2 linked regions of the Astyanax mexicanus genome follow. The protein of the gene in region 2 interacts with the protein of the main gene of each other region in a pairwise test. Links are inferred from orthologs where the notes say so. Each region holds a gene or a part of one and is shown on either strand. Other genes may lie near its edges. The genes, in order: pinx1 and aida.

Region 1 (12,047 bases), about 17 Mb from region 2:
TTTTAAACTAGATCATTATCATGCTTGGTAATAAGGCTGGCGTTTCCTATTACTTTCAAAACGGCCTAAATTTGTATTTGATTTTACCTCAACTCAAACCAGAAAACTACACAGTCACAGTGCACACAGTAACGCTGTAAACCAGCTTTCCTAGTGTGAGCACTGTGTAACAACAGCACCACCAAGTGGTATTTTAAGTGTGGGGAAAAGGCAGAAAAGCTATAACCAGTTATTATATGTACAAGATATGCTTATACGTTTTAACCTTATAACTTTATATTTTTTGTAATTAATATATATATATATATATATATATATATATATATATATATATATATATATATATATATATATATATATATATATATATATATATATTCTATCAAGAGGTAACAGACACTCAATATCATAACCAAACTACAGTATGTACACAGCTTGGGTCTGCTATAAAATACACATGAACACATAAAATCAAACTGGTCTACCTAATAAACAAAATAAATTAAAAGAAACACATTTATCTGTAATGTACCTTCAGTGCTGTTCTGACCGTGGCAGTTGTTGAGGTCAGCAAGAAGCTGATTAAAATCATCCTGATGGGCAATCCAGTTATCCTACAAGACACATTCACCACATAATTTAGATAACATACTGTGACTGACTAAAACCTTACAACAAAAAAAACAATTTAGGATCCACACAAAGATTCAGAAAAGTGCTCACCTCATTGTAGACTGCGGCACCTAAACCCAAACTGTTGTTTTTCACTTTAACCTTGATGTGGTCTGTAGCACCCTGCCCAGTTTTTCCAAGACCCTAATTGGAACGAAATGAGAAACAAAGAAGCATTATTAGGCCACAGATAAAGTACAAATAAAGCCAAATAAACTACATAGTGTTAAATTACACTGCAAATTACAATGCAGTCTTGGACTAGACCTAAACTGATCAGTTTCTGTGAAAAAAATGCAGTCCGGATTTTGGGTAGGGTTGGGACAAAATATAACTATTGTGATATATTCTATTACTTTCAACATATGAACAATACTTGATGTCAAGTAAAGCATAAGTACTCTAAATTCCCTAAGATTTACTACCCAAATTGACTTATTACAGTTACTGCTTCATTACTCCACCTAGTGGCACTAATCAAATGAATCGGGTAAACCTGCGGTGAAGAATATTGGTTGTAAAATTCTATGAAACGAACATCAATTAATCAACAAGTCCTAGTATTTTCTCCTCTTCAGCAACACAGATTCATCATAGTATCATAGATAAATGTCTTGCAAAATATTGAATATCACATAATCACAGTAGAGCATTATCATCATCATAATCATCCAATCCAAATCTAATTCTGGGTGCCTCTGACCTTATGTAGTCATGTCAACATACTGTATAAACGTAAAGCAATAAAGGACAAAAAAAAGAACACTGCATTTGACACCTAGAGGACAGTAATCTTTTTAATGATCAACCCAAATAAATGTACAAACAACCTGTTAAAACAAATCCAAATATGTTTGGATGCTATGTGTAAAGGTATCCAGAAATACATTCTAAATAGACAATTCTACTATGTTTATTTGCACTCATAGCTGACAAACAGTTTGTGCAAACACAGCTTGTATAACTTGCATTAAAAGACAACACAAATGAAATAAGACATCCTGAAGCCAAAACACAAAACAGTTTTTCCCCAAAAACTGTATATTTGCTTTATGTGTACAATTGGTTTGTGTCATTTTACATGCTGTTGACCACAGTGTAATTGGCTGACAGACACAGTAATCTATGGTGATAAATAATATATACAGCCAGTGAGAGGTTTTGCCCCCCTTGTACATTTTGCTAATACCAAGTTCAGGCATATATATATATATATATATATATATATATATATATATATATATATATATATATATATATATATATATATATAGTGCAGAATCCAGGATGTACAAATACTTCATTGATTGAGGTGGCAATGTAAGAACTTTATTACCTTTCCCTTGGACCAGCCCATTCGCTCCAGCATCTTCTGGCCGAACTTGGACTCATCTTTGCTCCATGCACTGTTCCTCGGGTCCACAGACCACTTCTGCCTTCGACGAGCTAATACAACAATGCAATTAGCAATCAGCCAACAGTGTCAGTGAACTAATCATCATTATGTAACCGACAGTCTAGCTCTCTGCTGATGACAGGATGTAGGAAAGTTCCCTTATCCCATATCCGAATGAGATTTGGGGTCCTGGGGTAATTTTCTCTTTTATGGGGGGTTCTCTGTGATTTTATTCCCGTCCAGAACGACCATGTACATGTTTTTCGTGTTTTTCTCAGACGTCCTCTAAGAAAATTACAGGCTGAATTACCTACAGTTTTGTAGTCTCTGAGTTTGATTACCTTGCGATTAATAAAATAGCTATTTGTCCACTGCCACGCACCGTACTTACACTTCACGTTTCATGGAGATTCACGTAAACACAACAGCATATAAAAACGGAGGAGCTACTGAACGTGATGTCACATGACCGAGAAAGCCAAAAAAAACTCTCTGGTCCTCCTGTTTTATTAATTGCAGTCCGGATGCAAGAGTTTAAATCACTGAGTAGAAGTGTGAGAAATATTTTTTACAGGCGTCCCCTGAGAAACTAATCCCGTCTGGAGAGGGCATTAGGATGCTTTCACACCTGCCCTGTTTAGTCCGGAGTTTCAGAACTTTCAGTTTGGGTCTGAACTAAAGTAGCAGGTGTGAAAAGGGATTTAACTGAAACCAATTTATATGAAGTATAGAGAGACATGATGTAGTACGGTTCTTTAATCCACTCACTAGGGGTGAGCTATATGACAATATTTCAGGGTATTTTTGTGATAATGATATTTTTGGTGATAGGAAAAAATATTGAACTAAAAACATATACAATTTTAAAAATACACTGCTGCAACAAAACAAGTATTTAGTTTTATTTGGCAACATTATTGCATGATTATTGCACTAAATGGCACTAAATTAATATCACAATATTTTAGCATATTTTAGTGATAACAATATTCAAAAATATTTGTGATATTATTGTGTACAATACAACACGGCACTCTCCCACAGCTCACTAAACCAAAACTGAAGCAAATTTATACAATGTGAGAAACACGGGGAACTGAGTAAAATGCAGAATCCAAACGTAATAGACTGGTGTAAGGTTACCAATCTTACAGATACTTACATAATATAGCTAGGGGTTAGCAAGCTAACTAGCAAGTGGAAAGCAGAACCCCTCTTATTGATTTCGTAATTAAATAATAAAACAGAGGGGAAGTGGTAAGCACTAACTTAAATTCATTATCAAGCTAAGCTTACTTTTAACAGGTGTCCTGTCGAGTTATGCTACCCATCCATACGTGTTTCATAAAGGCACTGCGCATGCGGTGACCTACAGGAAATAATTATTGTTTATGTTTTTAATATCTGTTTTTTTCTGTGCATGAAACAACCTGGACTCACTCTTTGTAATTGCATAAACGTGTAAATGGAAATGAATAATAATAAGTACAATAATTAATATTTTAGAAAAAACACAAAAGCAGTTTGTAATGACTTCTCATTGCCATAACTTTACCAAGATACAGCAATTTATGTTTTTCAAATATACTAAACTAGCTACATCTAATGTGAACATGCTCTAATATTGAGCTTCTTCTGTATTTTACAGTATATATACATATATACATTAGGGTAGCACGGTTTGAAAAGGTAGCACAACTCGACAGAACACCCCGGACACAACACTTTTATCGGTTCCCCAAACACATAAAATTTAGTATACGTTAGACTCTGGTCTAGACTTTCAGGTGCGAAAGACCCCCAAGAGCCCATTGGCAGTGCTGGTAAGCGCTGGGGACAGCTGGATTTCCCTGTTTTGACACACCCATTAAATCTGACCCTGTTGTTAACTAGATAACAATAACTTACTGAAGAATCTGAGCGACAAGTCTGAGCTAGACTCATGAGCGCTGGTCTAAAATGAGCTCAGAACAGGTCAAATGATCACTTTCACTTTACTGCTCCAATATAAAATACAACAACAGATGCGTGAACTGATGTAACTTTAGTTAATTATCTAATGTGTAGATCTAGGCAGAGTATTATTAAGGCCATCTAAGACTGAAGTCTGACAGCTCTGACCTAATATACGACTATTAGAGCAGCGTGTGTGTGTGTGTGTAATAATCTGACTGATCATTAGTGTGTTTTGCCCCAGAGCCACATCTACAGAGCTACAGCTAACTAGCACTAGCTAACCCGAGCGCACCGGCTGATCTTCTGATTAACTTTAAAACGAGGAAAACGATTCTATTAAAGCCTGGCAGCACAGGTACGGGTGTAAACCACATATCCAGGGTCAACACTGACACTATAGAGCACGAGAAACCACGAACAACCAAAAATAAAGCAAAACAAACTATCAACTCACGTTCAGCAAGCATGGACATCGTGGGGTCCTGGAGCATGTGGACGCTGCCGCCAGGCTTCCCCACCTATGCCTGAGTGTAAAATATTTTTTTAGTTTTATATATTTTGTGTATTATGACGAATATAAAAATATTATCCCATACATTTTAGAGATGTATATATGTTTAGGTAAATATATGTTTTAAATATGTTTTGTGTTTTTAGTTTTACGTGGGCAGTTTAAAGCCCTCTTTAATTTATTATGTCTATTAAAAGTGCTGACACTAGAGGTCGACATTGTAGCGTGTTCCTTTTTAAAGTTCATTTTAAAGTCCTTCTACAATGTTCTCCCTAAATATACACTCTTGTATACTATATTATACGCTCATTTGTATTGGGTGAGGTAAGGATTGGATGGAGCTGCTTGACCATGGAAACCCCCTTACATGAACCGCTCCTTTGTTATTGATCTGATCTGAAGCTACATGAATTGTGGAGGTCTGTAATGACTGAACTAGGTGGTTCTGCCTTTTTACGTGGTCCCTAGATCTAAACCTGGAATTCTATCTCATTGGGCATTAAAATTTACCATTGACTGAAACAATGGTTGGACTCTTTATAAAGAATATTTATCTTGCAAGAGAAAAATAGATGTTTTTATATTTGCTTCACATAAAAGTACAAACATTACAATCCATATTTATTTTTTCACTTAAAAAATAATTTTATAGATATTTCAAGGTAATTAATCTTTTTTCTATAAAATCATAAATAGACAGACTAACCATTCATGGTATTACCTTAGAGTATGCTTTAATGTTTGTATCAATTGTTTTGTGTAACATAGGACCTGATCTCTCTATGGCTCTGCCCTGAACCCTCGTCTGAGACAGACCACGCCCACCCCGCCAGCTTCAAGCGCTCTTCCAAACATGGCGGAGCGAACGGGGTTCAGCTCACAGCAGCACCAGCAGGTACTTTTCCAATTAAATTTCATACAGACGTTATGATTAATGTTATATTTCTTTTTTAAGTAAGTGTTTAACTCTATTAAGATGCTCATGTTAGCGGGGTGTGCTAAATATCCATGCTTAAATTATACTAGTTAGTTAGTGAACACTAACCTACCTAGTCAGTGAGTTAGCTAGTTTACCTAGGTCATCTGGTCAGTGAGTTAGTGGGTTAGCTAAGCTAGTTATTATGCCCCAGGGTAAAGCCAAGTAAGTGCTGGTTAAGGTTAACTAGCTAACTCACTGACTAGGTAACCTAACTAGCTTAGCTAACCCACTAACTCACTGACCAGATGACCTAGGTTAAGTAGCTAGGTAACTCACTGACCAGATAACCTAGGTTAAGTAGCTAGGTAACTCACTGACCAGATGACCTAGGTAAACTAGCTAACTCACTGTAAATGTTTTTCAAAGACGCACAGTCACGAACAGTATATATAACTGACGGTGCAAAATTTTCTAGACACAAGTCAGACAGATCTTTTTTTTTCTATAAAATCATAAATAGACAGACTAACCATTCATGGTATTACCTTAGAGTATGCTTTAATGTTTGTATCAATTGTTTTGTGTAACATAGGACCTGACTGGAACAACGCTAATTTAAAAGGTTGGGCCCTCCCCACTCCCCTGCTGACCTACACTCACACTGCGTTTAAACAATCTGTGCCCAAGCATGCTTACGTCATTACTCACTGCTCAGTAGGCTTGCTGGTGTTGTGCCGAATTCAACACCCCTGCCATGATGGGGTGCTATTCCTGATGGCGGTGCTGAATTCGGCACCACCCCATGTTTGTTAACGTTGCATGTTCCGTGCACAGTCTGCAGTCAGGGGCGGATTTAACTATGCAAACCACCCAATTGCTTGGGGCCCCGGGAATCAGGGGCTGCTGGCCAAAAACGAAAAAAAAAAAACCCACATTATTTCTTTTTTGTACACCCAAGTTAAGCCAGGCGAGGTAGACTAAGGTAGCTTTGGCACAACCATGAAACGGTTTTATCCCAGCGTTGCCCAAAAAAGAAAGAAAATTAAGGAAAGCACAGAAAGCTTGAAAAAGCTAAAAAAAAATTTTTACAGCAGCAAGAATTCAACGTCTGACGAGAATGAGGTACCTGAGATTGCATTTTACTTTACAAAAGCAGTGTTGATGAAGGGTTGTGGTATCCTACACTCATTTCAGGGGTTATGCAGATCACAACCATTAAGGGATATTGTGTAACAGCTCAGAAAGGTATTTTTAATGAAATGTATATGATTGTAACTGTACGGGTATGGGTATATCTACCCATAAATGTACAATGCATGTTTTTTTGTGTATGGCTAGGTGTTGTTTGGCATGCTGACAAGGCACTTCGCACTACAGGTTTCCACCAGACGGTCAGTAAACAAAAATGAGTGTCTTGTGTGCCAAACCAATAAATCAAGAGAAGATGTTCTGACACATGTATCAAGGAGGTGCAATCAAGTTATTCCCCTCTTTTGATTTATATGTCTATGGAGTGAATTTTGTGCCAAAAGTTTTACGTAAAAAAATAAAATCCACAATCAAAATTTTAAGAATCAAAAGTAAAACATGTATGTTGCAAATTCAAAAGAGAAAAAATATATATCAAATATATATATTTAAATATACTTGGTTATTTTATTATTCTTTGCACTTATTTGAAAATTATTTTAGTTTGGATTTTGCCAGTCTTTGCTTTCATTTTTGGATTTTTTTGGATTTTGCTGCTAAAGACTTTTGCTTCTGGAATCTCTACTTTGCTTCTGCTTCATTTTTTTGGTTCTGATTTTTGGCACACTTTTCACGGGTGGGCGGGGCTTAGAAGAAGGCGTTCCCCTTTAATCTCTATTGGTCACCTACCCTGAACCAGAGCTGATCTCCATTGATCTAACTTAAATTATATAAATTACTGTATAATTCTATATTATATAGTATTGTTTTTTAGACATTTTTCTGTAGAAATTGATTTCATTTTGACATTAAAATGGAAATTCTTGTAAAAATGATACTGACCATGATTCCATTTATGAATGCAGTAAAAATTGAAGGGAGTAAATAGTTTGTTTAGCCTTCTTAACTTTCAATGAAAGTCAATGTAAAAAGAGTTCATTTTAGGATAATTTCTATTAGTATAAGGGACAGTTTGTGTGTTCAAATTATGTAGTAATCAAAAATAGGCAAAAACAGAGACAGCAACAATATACCTATTCTATATATCTCAGTCGAAAATCTTCTGTGTGATTTAAAAATGACATCACATTGAAGAAACTAAATAATGTAGTCTTCTGAACTACAATTTTTTAAAAACTAATTACCCAGCCTACATCTTAATTCTATACTTTGAGACTTTTGTGCATTGCTTAAAGAACATGTAGAACTTGTGACGTGGCACAAAGTGTGCCAGATTCTGTGCCAAGATCTGGTTTAACACACATCACACAAAGTAACCTTGAATGTCCTTACTCCAGACCTGAGAAGGAAATGTGGTACGATAAGATCTGTCTGACTTGTGTCTAGAAAATTTTGCACCGTCAGTTATATATACTGTTCGTGACTGTGCGTCTTTGAAAAACATTTACACAGAAAATATTTGAATAGAAATGATATGAAAGACTGATAAATAAGATTGTATGTAACATTTTATTTTATATCAGTAGATTATCATTAAGCAATCTTTTCTGTTATCTTGGTGCTTGGCTGGCCTAGATATGAAACTTGTTTTTATCTCACTCAGTTTGACTGCACAAAATAGTGCTTGGTAATAATCAATCAGTAAACGAATTCAAATAAAGCAATTCAAATAACTCTCACCATTTTAAACAAATTTAAGGCACCCTATTGTAATAACCTGTACATTGCATAATTGTGTTTTGTGTGATGGTTATACAGACATCTTTTTAGAATGCTATCTCCAGAATATACAGACATGAGAAATAAAGAAAAAGTTTACAACTGTCACAATTTAGCAGGATATACTTCTATGCTTTAATGTGTACATTTTCAACAAAAAAACACTGTGTCATATGAGGGTAGACCTCAGATAAAGGTTAAAGGGTTCATCTAGTCTCAGCAGTGATATACAGTGCATGTTGAGACAGATGAGCCAGTGACAGTCAAGCACCGTCACCATAAAATGGTTTTTGATGCTTTGCTGAAATCCAAACCCGAGGTCTATTGATTCTGCTGTACCTCACAGAACAGTTATTTCCCAAAGGTCACCAAAAGGTTGCGTCAGCAAATGGATATTTGTCTGTTTTTTTCTGAGTAATACCTTTTTGTCTCAAGAAAAGATTTTAAGCATAACACGTCAGTGGTATCTGTTATGTTGTTAAAAATACATTTAACTTGGCTTTCACTATAAATTCTAACTACCCTGTTTTTAATGTATTTATTAAGTTAATGGTTAAATCAGCTGATTATGTCAAAGTAATTCATACAAACTGAGTTTTTTTTGTGTAAGATCTATTTCTCTCATGTTTTGAGTTGAGTTAATACATTTATTTATATTGACCCAAGTCATGTTATTCATTTTGTTCAAATACAATGAGCTTTAGGGAGTACCTCATACTTGGAGATACCCCTCGCTGCAGAACCACAAGTCCAGGGGGTGGGGCTGGATCTGATCCAACTCTTCCTACGTCGTGTTTTCATTGGTCTGAAGCAGATCGGACTCTTCCCCATCCGGTTTTACTCACTCGCCTTTCGGAGTCAAGTAAACAATCACGAACGGGGAAGAGGAGAAAGAAAAAATATAAATAACAATCTGGCAGTAACAACATCCTCATTCTATACTCTCAGTGTACTGGGCATTTTTCCAAGCTCTTTGGAAAATTATACATCGTTACACTCTTTTTATAGAACTCTGTTTTTTGTTCGCCATTTTGATTGTGTATTAATATCTGTAATAATAAATGAACATGGTAGCTGGTAGATAAGACACTCATTGGCATCCTTTATTTTAATTATTTATTTTTTATTTTGTCTTTAGGCCCTTTTTATTAAAGATAAAAAATGAAATAGTTAATATTTATATAGGAAATGTACAGCATTTTATTATGTTTGTAATCACAGACATGTTCCTTCTTTTAAATCTGTATTGTGTGATTTAAATGTGCTACGTAGCAAATAACATTTTCCAGGATTTATTTGATAAGATAAAAGTCCTGGTCGGGAAACGTAAGCGACACGTGTTATGTTTAACAACGAATTGAAATGCGATGACTTAAAACCAATGAAAAGAAGATATGGGTGGTCAGGAGGTCAGGCTCCACCCCTTGGATCAGATCCAGCCCCACCCCCTGGACTTGTGGTTCTGCAGCGAGGGGTACTTGGGATATTTGGGTACTGCAACCTCAATGAGTAAGACAACTTTCCCATTGGCCTCTGGAACCCTATATATGCATAGTGGGTATGTCTTTCTTCACCTTACTCGTCCTCAATGTATAGTGAGTCCCCCAGGTTAATTTTCCCCTATATGTTATTTGTAATAAATTGAGGAACCGCTGTTTGGTCCCGTGTTGAAGGCTGTAAAAGCAAGTTAACACTTCTGACTGCTAAAGGCCACTATAATGCACCAATATAGTATTATAAATTATATAAATTAAATGTTACCAAATCTAGACATTATGGGCTTTAAATATAGTTTCCAGCCCTAGAATTTTTTCTTTTGCTGGCAGTTAAAAGAACTGCCCATATGAATATATATATTTTTTTTTTACTCAAAAGTTCCTGGAGAGATATTTGGAATTATTCCCAGATAGGGGAATAGGTATTATTTAGAGAGCAACTTTGTCACAGATGTTCCTTCTAAAACTGTTTAGAAGACCTAGCGTTAGACAAATGTGAGACAAAAGACATGATATACACTGCCTGGTCAAAAGAAATTTGCCACCAAAAAAAAGTCGCACACTCTAATATTTGATTGGACCGCCTTTATCTTTGAACCGCAGTGTGGCATTGTTTCCATAAGCTTCTGCAATGTCACAAGATTTATTTCAAGTGTTGCATTAATGATGGTAGAGTCTGACCGCTGCACAAAGTCTTCTCCAGCACATCACAAAGATTCTCAATTACCTCTTTTCCACCAAAAAAGTGCTGGTGCCGGAGCCGGTTCCTGCAAACCTTTTAAGAACCGGCCCGTGTTTCCACTGCTTCAAGGAGTCACTCACTACGTATGTGAATGTGGGCATCAACAGAAGTCGGGGGCGATTTGAAAACAACAAGGCAGAACCCGAGCTCCTTTTAAAACTTGTGCTGCTGTCCTCGGTGGACCACTATTGAATATTTTTTATTCATTTAGCTGCTTCTGCTGCTCTTAGCTGTGAATGGAGGTGAGGTTTGTAAACAACTTTGCCCCAGAGACGATTCAGCGCCCCACCCTTTGGCCGCTCGCGTCACAGGTTCGCTGGTTCCAGACCAGCAAGTTCCTGGCCCAGAAGCTGTGATTTTGCGGTAGAAATGGAAAGAACCGTTCGGGAACCTGGCACCAGCACTGGCACCATGCCGGTGGAAAAGCACCCAATGAGGTTAAGGTCTGGACTCTGTGGTGAACAATCCTTGTGTGAAAATGATGATCTCATGCTCCCTGAATCACTCTTTCACAATTCCAGCACCATGAATCCTGACATTGTTATCTGGGAATATTCTCGGTCATCAGGGAAGAAACAAAACAAATCTATTAATGGAATAAGCTGGTCTATATTCAGGTAGTCAGCTGACCTCATTCTTTCAGCACATACTGTTGCTGGACCTAAATCTGACCAACTGTAGCACCAACCCCACATCATTTACTTACTTAAATCCAGACGGCCACTTTTTTTAGCCAGGCAGTGTAGTTCCGAGGTTAAGGAGTCAAAAGTGTGAATATGGTTTTTGTAATGTCTCCCTCTGCTGGCCTCAGTGGCGAATTCACATTCCCCAGTCATGTGCTGTGACTATGCTCCACCTCTTACCTGAGGCACATCAATCAGACATAGCTTGCAGCTCCTTCAGAGGAATGTTTTTGACTCTGTCTTTCTCTCAGCAAAGTCTCTGCACCCTATATTTAGGCTTGACTTAAATCGCGTCAGTGTGTCTTCACTATGGTAACGGCCAAAAAGATCTACCTTGCGCTGCTTTAAACACGCAAAACGCACAGTTGTAATTTTGCTAGAAAGCATTTAGTACTTGTACTTTTTTAAATAGATTAGGTCACGCAGAGTTGTATGCTGCACGTGAAACTGTTCTTCTAATTCCATTGCACACATTATTCAATAAAACAAACACGAATGAATCGGGAAAAGCCACATAAATTAGGATTCATGGCCTTGGCCAACTTGGCTTGCATCCATCTATGGGAAAAGTGTCATAGTGCTAATAACCACTCAGAGACGATACCTTTGGATGTTATTAATATCCAATTTTATTGGTAAGAGTCTTTCTTTTCTGTCCACTCATCTACTGTACTAAAACAGCCTGAAACAGGAGCACCAGAAAACTTTCTTCACAAAAAACTGGCTTACATGGCATTCATTCGTACTAGAGACTACTGTCTAATTAACGGAAAAACGATAAAACGAGCCCTTTAAGAGCCAGAT
Region 2 (11,247 bases):
ATGCTAATTTTTTGAGAAGGACCTGTAAATATGAGCAGTTTTTAAATGAAGGTTTTTATTATTAGGGAGAAAAAATTCAAATCTACATGGCCCTGTGTGAAAAAGTGTTTGCCCCTAAACCTAGGTCATGCCACAGCAGCTCAATAGTAGGTCAAGACTTTGACTAGGCCACTCCAAAGTCTTCACTTTGTTTTTCTTCAGCCATTTAGAGGTTGGACTTGCTGGTGTGTTTTGGATCACTGTCCTGCTGCAGAACCCACGTTCATTTCAGCTTCAGGTCACAGATGAGGAACAGATGGCCGGACATTCTCCTTCAGGACTTTTAGGTAGACAGCAGAATTCATGTTTTTATTAATCACAGCAAGTCTGTAGGTATGTATTTTACCGTAGGTATGATGATCTTTTTCTGAAAGGTGGTGTTACCTGTATGCCAGATATAATGGGACACACACCTTACAAAAAGTTAAAGTTTTGTCTCATCACTCCACAGAGTAATCTCTCAAAAGTCTTGGGAATCATAAAGATGTTTGCTGGCAAAATTGAGACCAGCCTTGTCTTTTTTTGCTCAGCCGTGGTTTTCATCTAGGAGCTCTGCCATGTAGGCCATTTTGCCCAGTCTCTTTCTGATGGTGGAGTCATGAACACTGACCTTAACTGAGGCAAGTGAGGCCTGCAGTTCTTTGGATGTTGTTGTGGGGTCTTTTGTGACCTCTTGGATGAGTCTACACCTCTTGGGGTAATTTCGGTTGAATGGCCACTCCTGGGAAGGTTCACCACTGTTCCTTGTTTTCGCCATTTGGGGACAATAGCTAACATTGTGGTTCACTGGAGCACCAAACTTTAAAAATGTTTTTTTTTAACCTTTTTCCAGACTGATAGATCTCAACAAAGTTCTTTCTCAATTTTTTCCCGAATTCCTTTGAATATTGGCAGGATGTCTTGCTTTTGAGAATCTTTTGGTCTACTTCTCTTTTTCAGGCAGGTCCTGTTTAAGTGATTTCTTGATTAAGGACAGGCGTGACAATAATCAGGCCTGGGTGTGAAAAGAGAAACTAAACTCAGGTGTAATGAACCACAGTTATGTTACTTTTTCCACACAAGGTCATGTAGGTTTAGATTTTTTTTTCCTTAATTATGAAAATCTTCATTTAAAAACTGCATTTTGTGTTTAATTGTGATGCATTTGATTAATATTAAAATGTATTTGATAATCTAAAACATTAAAGAGTGACAAACATACAAAAAAAAAAAATAGAAATCATGAAGGGGCAAACACTTTTTCACACCACTGAATATAAACATATAAAATCAACAGCTCCAGTCCTGAAGGGCAAGAGTATAAAAATACAAAATATTATATTGTATTGTATTATATTTAAACAGCAAACTTCCATAGAATTAATCTTAATATAACATTAAACAACAACTATATACACATGTCTTAGTGTACATACTGGGTTCCAGTTTCTTCAAGTCTTCCAACTTAAAATCTTCTTGGGATTGGTTGTACTAAAAACATAAAAAAAAGATGGTGAGAATGATGTTTGGACATTAACTTTTAATATATTTAAGCCAAAACTACTCTGTATAATATAATACATTACAAAGATATAAATATATATGACTGTATATAGCTTATATACTGAACTCATTGCTGTGTCCTGTGCAAGAGGTTTGGGCATCGTACAAAGAAAGCACCCCATTGCACCGTCTGTCAGAAATCATGTGTTGCAAATGCACCTCGCTCAGTTAAAATTCTTTAAAGTTAATTCTATGCCCTTTAAGTAAGGGGACTGTGAGGGCCACTGTGAAATCTTTTGTGTATGTGGTTTTGAGGTATATTTTAGATCCTTTATTATCCTGATATATTGCTTCCAGATTGTTTGACATCTTCCTTTTTTCCCCAACTGTACATTTGCTTATTGTGGCTAAAGACTTCTATGTAGACTTAATCAGCCCCTATTACTTATTTCATTACTTATTTCTCATAATATCCGAAACAAACTTGAAATGTTAAGTTTGGTGAGGGAGTTTTGTACTTATGACCCCCTCTATGTAGCTTATACTTATGCTGTGCATTTATATGGTAGTCTTGATTTGCTTGTCTTACCAGCATACCAGTAGTTCTGTCTTGGATCACATCTTGAATTTTATTTTGTAAAAGCCTTTAAATGTGATGTTAGTGAGTGTGACAGAGTACATTACAGCACACATGAACAGCACTTATCAGACTGACATGTTGGTATACAGTAAAACAGGAAAGTAAGTACAGGAGTATTTTTTATACTCTTCAAGATAAGGAGGTGTAGTCACTTTGCACAGTTCTGTAAGAAGACACAAATTTCCCCCTCATATGAACACCATTGTCTATTTACAACACCGGGGAATTGGGAGGCAGTGGTATAAAACATTATCTATGTTTGAAGTTGACCATATGGGGAGATTTACGGTCATATAGAAAAAAGCTTGAGTTGGCCACAAGTATATTTGGGAAATATAAGTGGCATTTAGCACCAGAACCATGTACTATCTGTCACGCATGGTGGAGGTAGCACCATGCTCTGAGGATGTTTTGCTGCCTGTGGCAAGGGTAAATTGCACAGAGAATAATAGAATAATGGACAGCTAGATTGTTGACACTGGGTATTCCAAAAGGACATGCATGAAACAAATTTGAAAGTGAAAGTGTTTCAATATGCATGCAAGAGTTCTGCTCCAAAAAGTTGCTAATAGTTACCAAATATTGACATGACATGTCATGATGAGTGTATGAAAACCTCCAATCACCAGCTGTACTTTACCACAAGTTCCTGCATTTGATCCACATTAACTTAAAACTAACCTTAACATTGAACCAGGCTTAAAATTATTTATTGGTGAGCTATTTTGTATACAGAGCAGCAAGACTACACACCTGTAAGGATGCACTTCGCATTTCAAGACATGTTGCAATCTTTCCCAGGTTTTTCTGGGGAAAAAAGACATATGGAAATGATTATGAACATTTATACTTAATAGTTCTAGGAAACATTATAGGTCTTGTTTAATTTGTAAATACTGATTCTATATCTGATTAAGGCACAGGGATATTTCAAACTTGAAGCAGACATGACTAAAGTACCTCTACCTACCTTCTGCTCCTCTGTAAAATCATGTGAATTTGATGACTGGACCTCTTTCTGCAGCTGCCTTGCAAGTCTGTCAAACAAAAAAGCAAAAAAACAGCATAATATAACATCCTTCTGATATCAAAAATCAGCAAACTTTTCAACAGTTAGCATCTAAGCTAACACTGCAATCCTTACTGCCGAGTTCGACTGCATTGAGCCGCTAGCTGCATTCCAGTATCTAACCAGCACTGCATTATCGCTAATCTAACATTTTGGCTTCATAATAAAAGTGCCAAGGCAGATTATATAAATAAAAAAAAGATGTTCATTGAAAACAATTACTGTATTGACCAACATAATAAAGAAGTATTTTTATTACATTTGTCTGTAATATTGTAAATATCTAAATACTGTTACTGTCTCATTTTAAGGGTTTTAAGCTGGGCTGGTATGTTTTATTATTACAGAGCAACATATTTCAGCTATTACTGTAGAAAATATATTAGAGTGTAGTTGCACTGTATTTGAGTGGGCCAGAGCGTCTTCTAAATTTGGTTCGTAATGTATTAGGTGAATAAAGGTGAAGCTCTATAAAATTGGTGTTTAGTTGTGAGAGATATACAGTGTTTTCAGCATCTGTTTCTGGCTGATGTGGAGCTTTTAAGTCGAGTTATTCATTAATGTACTAATTTAATTGAACAGTGCAGTTTAAAATACTGAAGAACGTGATTACATGCGATTGGTTTACATTAATGAATCACAGAACCTGCTAGCACTACTAAAACTCATTATTCATTTTGTTACATTTAGTGATGTAATTGGATTTCATACAGTCTACTTTCTGTTTTTCCCACTTTTGTAACAGAATTCTGAATGTTATAAACCAGCCTACTTAAAATAATAAAATATGAAACCCCAAATTAAATGAAGTTTACACCCATTTTTATCTCGATTTTTCCTCCGTTAGAGAACTCAATGAATAAGGGTTACTGACCCTTATTCTGTTATTATAGTAGTTTGATTAGAGGTGGGTGTGAGTTATTAGTGTATCACTGAGTGATCAGCGGTTATTGATCAGAGACCCCCGACTCAGAGAACCTCTGGGAGAAGCTCCGCCCACAGGAACAACCAGCAGCAGCAGCAGGAGCAGGAGGAGGAGGAGGGTGTGGCGGCAGTTCTGCAACATGTACAGTTACTGCGGGAGGGAGAGAGAGGGGGGTCCGCTGGCGCTCACTGACCCGCCCGCCCGCGGTATTACAGCGCTGCTAAACAGACACCAAACACTCAACACCAGCCTGCTGCCCACTCACACTCACACTCACAGAGCTCTGTGAGCCCCGCGCCGCTCGCTCGCTCCCTCCCTCCCTCCCTCCCTCCACAGTCTACTCACATCTGGTACTCATCTATCGCCTCCACCAGTTGCCCCCACGAGTCGAAGTCCGTGCCCTTCCTGAAGCTCGCGTGCCACTTGTGGAGGGTCTTGGTGACATCGGTCATCTTCCCGCGCCGCTCCCGGGGGGTTCAGGTCAGCGGCGCTGCCGGGGCTCCTCTGCTCTGCATGGCTGTGGATCAGCTGCTCCTCCACGGGCTACAGATGAACCGGCGACACAGCTACACACCGAGACCCAGCCCTGCTGCGCGCGCAGCCACACACTGCGCATCACCCCAGCGGAAGTGCTGCGAGTCGAGCGCCGCACACATACCTACTGTAAAAGTCTCAATCCGGGTCCTCACCACAGACCCTCCACACAGGAGACCGCCCACTCTACGGCGCCTCCACCAGGGGGTGCGAGATCACATCATTCAGCACAGGAGAGCTTTTAAACTCCACTCATAATAAACACTTTAAACGAGTAGCAGCAGAATGCAGCGCATGTAAACCCCGTTACTGTAGAGAAATGTAAACATACAGCCTAGTTATATTTGCTTTTTGCATAATACTTAATTCTACGTTCCGAAATACACCGTCTGGCCAAAACAAGTCACCCCCTGTATTAATGCCGACCTTACACCTAACAGTGTCCTTACACGACTTAGTAAAAACTTTTTACAGAAAAAAGTCTGACCCCCTTACATCTAAAGACAAGTCACAGACTTTTTATTTACAGACTTTTTACTCACAGACTTTTAAGTCACAGGCTAAGAGTTTACAAAGACTGGGGATATTTGCAGTCTTTCTGAGATTTCTTTCCTCTCATGCCTCTGTTGGAATTTACATACAATACATATATATTAAGTAACAAATAATGTGAATATCGCTGTGATTTATCAGAGACTCACCACCTTTGTCCCCATTAACAGTTTTCTGCCGCACTGTATTTTGTTCTTGATATTTTTTATAGAATACATTTTGTGTTCAACTCTGCCTATAAGCTTCCCCCCCCCCCTTTTTTTTTTTTTTTTTTTTGCTACAATCATGTTTAGCAAAGAATCACAGTTTCACGAGAGCAATGTCAACAACCAATAGAAGAGCTACGGGAAACCACAAGGCAATAATATTTTACGTGATTGTTTACAAACGGTTTAAAACAGAACACATTTTGCAGTTAATATGCCTTATATGGTTCTTACTTTAATATGTACAGTATTTTAAACACAGGCAGCACTTTAAAGTCATTCTATTTAAAAATATATTTTTGCACTGCTTTGTCTTATTGTGCAGTTTTATTTTTGATACAAACAAGTTAATTAAATACACATTTTGCAAGAATTATGTTCTTTATTGCATTAATTCTATCTAAAACAGCTTGACTCTAGCCAGACTCTCTTGATTTTATCCTGACTCTGGAAATTTGTTTGCGACAGAAAAATCGTTTGAAAATCGTTAGGTGTAAGGCAAAAATTAGCAAAATCTTAGCCTGTGATTAAAAAGTATGTGACTTGTCTTTAGATGTAAGAGGGTGTCAGACTTTAGTATATTACAAATCTTTTCAGCGTTTTTTCAAAGTTATGTAGCGTATGGACAGCATAAGCAAAAAGCCTCCTATTGGATAATTACTGCATGGGTGATTGTCTAACAGCTGGCAGCAAGTTATTAAACCCCAGTTGCTTCTCATTTCTTAAACAACCATGTAGAAATACACACCTTGTGGTCATGGAATGGCAATGCCAGAATTCATGGGGCTGGAATTGTGAAAGAGTGACTCAGGCAGCATGAGATCATCATTTTCACACATGGATTGTTCACCACAGAGTCCAGATCTTAACCTCATTGAGAATCTTTAGGATGTGCTGGAGAAGTTTTGTGCAGCGGTCAGACTCTACCATCATCAATGCTGCAAGATCTTGGTGAAATATGGATGCAACACTGGAAAGAAATTAGTGTTGGTACATTGCAGAAGCTTATTGACACAAAGCTCCACGCAATCAAAGCTAAAGGTGGTTCAACAAAATATTAGCATGTGTGACCTTTTTTTGGTGGCGACTTTGTTGGTGGCCAGGCAGTGTTTAAGGAACATCTTAAATGTAGTTAATATTTTTTTATTTTGTGTTTTTAGTAGTTTAGCTCCACGTCTCCCCATTCATTTAGGGCTCTCTCGCGGGCTCCCTCTAGCGGTGCGCAGTGGTTTTCTGATGTAACGGAGAGACAGGAGGTGACCAGGCTCTCCATTAACCGGTGTCCTGAAAATCCATGCTACCCATCGAAACGTCCTACCAAGGGCTATTGCGCATGCGCAACATCAGTTTTCTGGTATTCAGAGCCACGCCCATAATTTCGTGCTGCTGGCAGATGGTGCTCTCGGATTCACGGTTAGTAACGCGTATTTAGCGCATTTTATCGTGTTTTGAGGTAGAAATGTTTCATAATTAAACCTTTTATCGTGTTTTTGGGGCAGAAATATTCCGTTATTAAGCCTTTGTTCACATACGCTTTATTACATTCAGTTGATTAACACTACACGTGTAACTTATCTAACACGTGTAGGGTCAAAATGGTGGAAATATTTAGTTATTGAGCCTTTTAACGTGTTTTGAGGCAGAAATATTTCATTATTAAGCCTTTTATCGTGTTTTGGGGCAGAAATATTTCATTATTAAGCCTTTGTTCACATATGCTTTATTAAATTCACTTGATTATTACTACACGTGTAAGTTAGGGTCAAAATGTCTGAAATATTTCATTATTAAGCCTTTTATCGTGTTTTGGGGCATAAATATTTCATTATTAAGCTTTTTAACGTTAACGTGTTTTGGGGCAGAAATATTTAATTATTAAGCCTTTTATTGTGTTTTGGGGCATAAATATTTCATTATTAAGCCTTTGTTCACATGTGCTTTATTAGATTCAGTTGATAATTGCAGCGATGGAAGAGAAGTGGGATACGATTTATGCATTTTTGGCCGTGGGAACATACCCTAATGCTTATAACAAATCGCAAAGGCAGAACCTCAGGAGATATGCCTCCAAGTTTCAAGTAAAAGGTCAGTGAATTCTTGCTGCTGCTGTAGTGATAATGAAAAATGATTAACCTACCTTATCAGAATGTGCTACCAGCATTTACACTGTAGGTAGGATAGATTTATAGACTAAATTACCTTATCAGAATGTGCTACCAGCATTTACACTGTAGGTAGGATAGATTTATAGACTAAATTACCTTATCAGAATGTGCTACCAGTATCAGTACTGCAGGTAGGATAGATTTATAGACTAAATTACCTTATCAGAATGTGCTACCAGCATTTACACTGTAGGTAGGACAGATTTATAGACTAAATTACCTTATCAGAATGTGCTACCAGCATTTACACTGTAGGTAGGATAGATTTATAGACTAAATTACCTTATCAGATTGTGCTAGCAGTATCAGTACTGCAGGTAGGATAGATTTATAGACTAAATTACCTTATCAGAATGCGCTACCAGCATTTACACTGTAGGTAGGACAGATTTATAGACTAAATTACCTTATCAGAATGTGCTACCAGCATTTACACTGTAGGTAGGATAGATTTATAGACTAAATTACCTTATCAGATTGTGCTAGCAGTATCAGTACTGCAGGTAGGATAGATTTATAGACTAAATTACCTTATCAGAATGCGCTACCAGCATTTACACTGTAGGTAGGATAGATTTATAGATTAAATTACCTTATCAGAATGTGCTACCAGTATCAGTACTGCAGGTAGGATAGATTTATAGACTAAATTACCTTATCAGAATGCGCTACCAGCATTTACACTGTAGGTAGGATAGATTTATAGACTAAATTACCTTATCAGAATGTGCTACCAGTATCAGTACTGCAGGTAGGATAGATTTATAGACTAAATTACCTTATCAGAATGCGCTACCAGCATTTACACTGTAGGTAGGATAGATTTATAGATTAAATTACCTTATCAGAATGTGCTTCCAGCATCAGTACTGCAGGTAGGATAGATTTATAGATTAAATTACCTTATCAGAATGTGCTACCAGCATTTACACTGTAGGTAGGATAGATTTATAGACTAAATTACCTTATCAGAATGTGCTACCAGCATTTACACTGTAGGTAGGATAGATTTATAGACTAAATTACCTTATCAGAATGTGCTACCAGTATCAGTACTGCAGGTAGGATAGATTTATAGATTAAATTACCTTATCAGAATGTGCTACCAGCATTTACACTGTAGGTAGGATAGATTTATAGACTAAATTACCTTATCAGAATGTGCTACCAGCATTTACACTGTAGGTAGGATAGATTTATAGACTAAATTACCTTATCAGAATGTGCTACCAGCATTTACACTGTAGGTAGGATAGATTTATAGATTAAATTACCTTATCAGAATGCGTTACTAGTATCAGTACTGCAGGTAGGATAGATTTATAGACTAAATTACCTTATCAGAATGCGCTACCAGCATTTACACTGTAGGTAGGATAGATTTATAGACTAAATTACCTTATCAGATTGTGCTACCAGCATTTACACTGTAGGTAGGATAGATTTATAGACTAAATTACCTTATCAGAATGCGCTACCAGTAGGTAGGTAGGATAGGTAGGTAGGATATATTTATAGACTAAATTACCTTATCAGAATGCGCTACCAGTATCAGTACTGCAGGTAGGATAGATTTTATAGGCTTAGTAACTTTATTTGAATGTGCTTTGTGCTATAAACTTTTGTGTGGTCCATTTTCAATTCAGATGGAGACCTCTTCTTTGAAATGAAAAGAAAGGTCATTAAAAAAAAGGAGGACGCCAGGGTTATGTTCGAGGAGTTTCATTCCAGCCCAATCGGTGGACACTCGGGTGTCATGAAGACACGTAGTGCCATGTGTGCCAGGTTTTACTGGCCAGGCATGACCATTGATATAGAAAATTGGGTATGTTTATTTCTTTTTCTGTTTTAACTATTATATAATTGCAAGTGTCATTGGTATATTAACACATTTATGCCTGAAGGTCTTGGAATGCGACAAGTGCCAGAAAGTAGGGAAACCCCTGGATGTTGCACAGCCGCTACAGTGCATTAAGGTAAATGCATTCAGTAACACAATTCTGATGACCAGTTCTTTCGAAATACATGATGCAATTGTTTTTTTTTTGTTTTTGTTTTTTTACTGGTAGGTGTCTGCGGTGTGGGAGCTTGTTGGCATTGACCTAACTGGCCCATTACCTGAAACATCAGATGGCTGTCAATACATATTGACAGTTACTGATTACTTCTCCAAGTGGGTTGAGGCCTTTCCACTAAGAAGTAAATCTGCAGCTGAAGTGGGGAAACACTTATGTTCTATAATTTACTGTCATGGCTGTCCAAAAAGAATTCTCTCAGATCAGGGGCGAGAATTTGTTAATGAAGTAAGTGTGTTACAATACCGTGTATAAAATCTGTGTGTTGTATTTGTTTTATTGTGTGTTTGTTTTTTGTTGTTGTTGTTTAAAATATGCATTTATCTGTTTTTCAGTTAGTGTTCACACAATGTAATGGGAAATGTTACATATTTTATTGGCCAAATTGAGGAAAATCTAACGATTTTTTTCTGAGAGATTTGTTAACTACAATCATTTTCTTTTTGAAGCTAAACCAAAGGCTGTGTGACATGCTCCATATTGAAAGGAGTGTGACAGCAGCCTACCACCCTCAAACGAATGGGCTTGATGAAAAGACAAATGATAACATAAAACGGTAGGATGTAATTTTAATTTGGTCTTCAAGATAAAGTGACTGCTGCTGCTGACATTTATTCTGCCTGTGTATATTCTAGGGAAGCCTAGATACCATTTTTTGTATGAGTACATGTATTTTTGTAATTAAAGATAATGATACTTGGAACTAAGCAATGGAGCAAATGGAATATTATATAGTGTTGGAGTGTTGGTGTATAAGTAATGTAAGATTTGTAGTGATCATCACATTTATATAAACATTTTTTTTACTTTTCCAAACAAGCCAAATATTTTAAGAAATTATGAAATTGTGCTTAGATGAAGAGAATAGTTTTATTGGATGTATAAGCTATTTGATGCCTTAAGGACAAATTGCTGACCTGCTCGGGTTTGAAGTTGAGACTGCTGCGATTCCCCAACCCTGTGCCTTATTGCATGCTCATCCTCATCCTCTCTTGTGTTCTCCAGAGCTGTGTGTATGTTTGAACATTTGATATTTGTATTCTTCTTCCCACACTCTCAATCCTGCATAAACTTCTTAGCAAACTTTGTTTTTCAACTTGTGTCATTACTTTATGGTTACAGAGCCCTGAAAAAGTTGGTCAATGAAAAGCAGAATGACTGGGATGTCTTTCTTGATGCCACACTCTTTTCCCTGCGCTCAAAGGTCCACACTACCACGAAACATTCACCATTTCTTCTAATGTATGGTAGGGAGGCAGTGTTTCCATCTGAGCTTCCTGTGGAGTTGCCGGTTAGTATGTTCACTTGGCTTATGAAATATTTGATCAAATGAATGTCAAGGCATTTGGATGTTAATTTATTTGTTCCATTTTATTTAATGTGATGTTTGATTTGATTTAATGTGATGTGTTTAATTTAGAAGGCTTTAGTCCATGAAGCAAATCCTATGAAATCAGTCCTAGTCCATAATAATGTTAAGTAGTCCATACCGCATGCAGATTCTAAACTGTTAACAAACCAACTGGCTAAATGTATGCATTAGGGCTGTCACAGTGAAAG

What was found.
Region 1: the proteins of aida (region 2) and pinx1 interact in binary tests that used the Homo sapiens proteins (3 or more experiments, as listed by UniProt). The link is inferred for Astyanax mexicanus from reciprocal best matches to the Homo sapiens genes AIDA and PINX1.

Annotation. Positions count from the first base shown.
Region 1 is NC_064408.1:71,111,383-71,123,429, forward strand, and holds the start of pinx1 (PIN2/TERF1-interacting telomerase inhibitor 1), read right to left. Parts: upstream 4,554-12,047; 5' UTR 4,516-4,553; coding exon 4,479-4,515; intron 2,119-4,478; coding exon 2,009-2,118; intron 817-2,008; coding exon 724-816; intron 615-723; coding exon 533-614; intron 1-532. UniProt on the Homo sapiens protein: Microtubule-binding protein essential for faithful chromosome segregation. Mediates TRF1 and TERT accumulation in nucleolus and enhances TRF1 binding to telomeres. Inhibits telomerase activity. May inhibit cell proliferation and act as tumor suppressor.
Region 2 is NC_064408.1:54,336,230-54,347,476, reverse strand, and holds the start of aida (axin interactor, dorsalization-associated protein), read right to left. Parts: upstream 4,792-11,247; 5' UTR 4,608-4,791; coding exon 4,501-4,607; intron 3,199-4,500; coding exon 3,132-3,198; intron 2,969-3,131; coding exon 2,915-2,968; intron 1,510-2,914; coding exon 1,455-1,509; intron 1-1,454. UniProt on the Homo sapiens protein: Acts as a ventralizing factor during embryogenesis. Inhibits axin-mediated JNK activation by binding axin and disrupting axin homodimerization. This in turn antagonizes a Wnt/beta-catenin-independent dorsalization pathway activated by AXIN/JNK-signaling.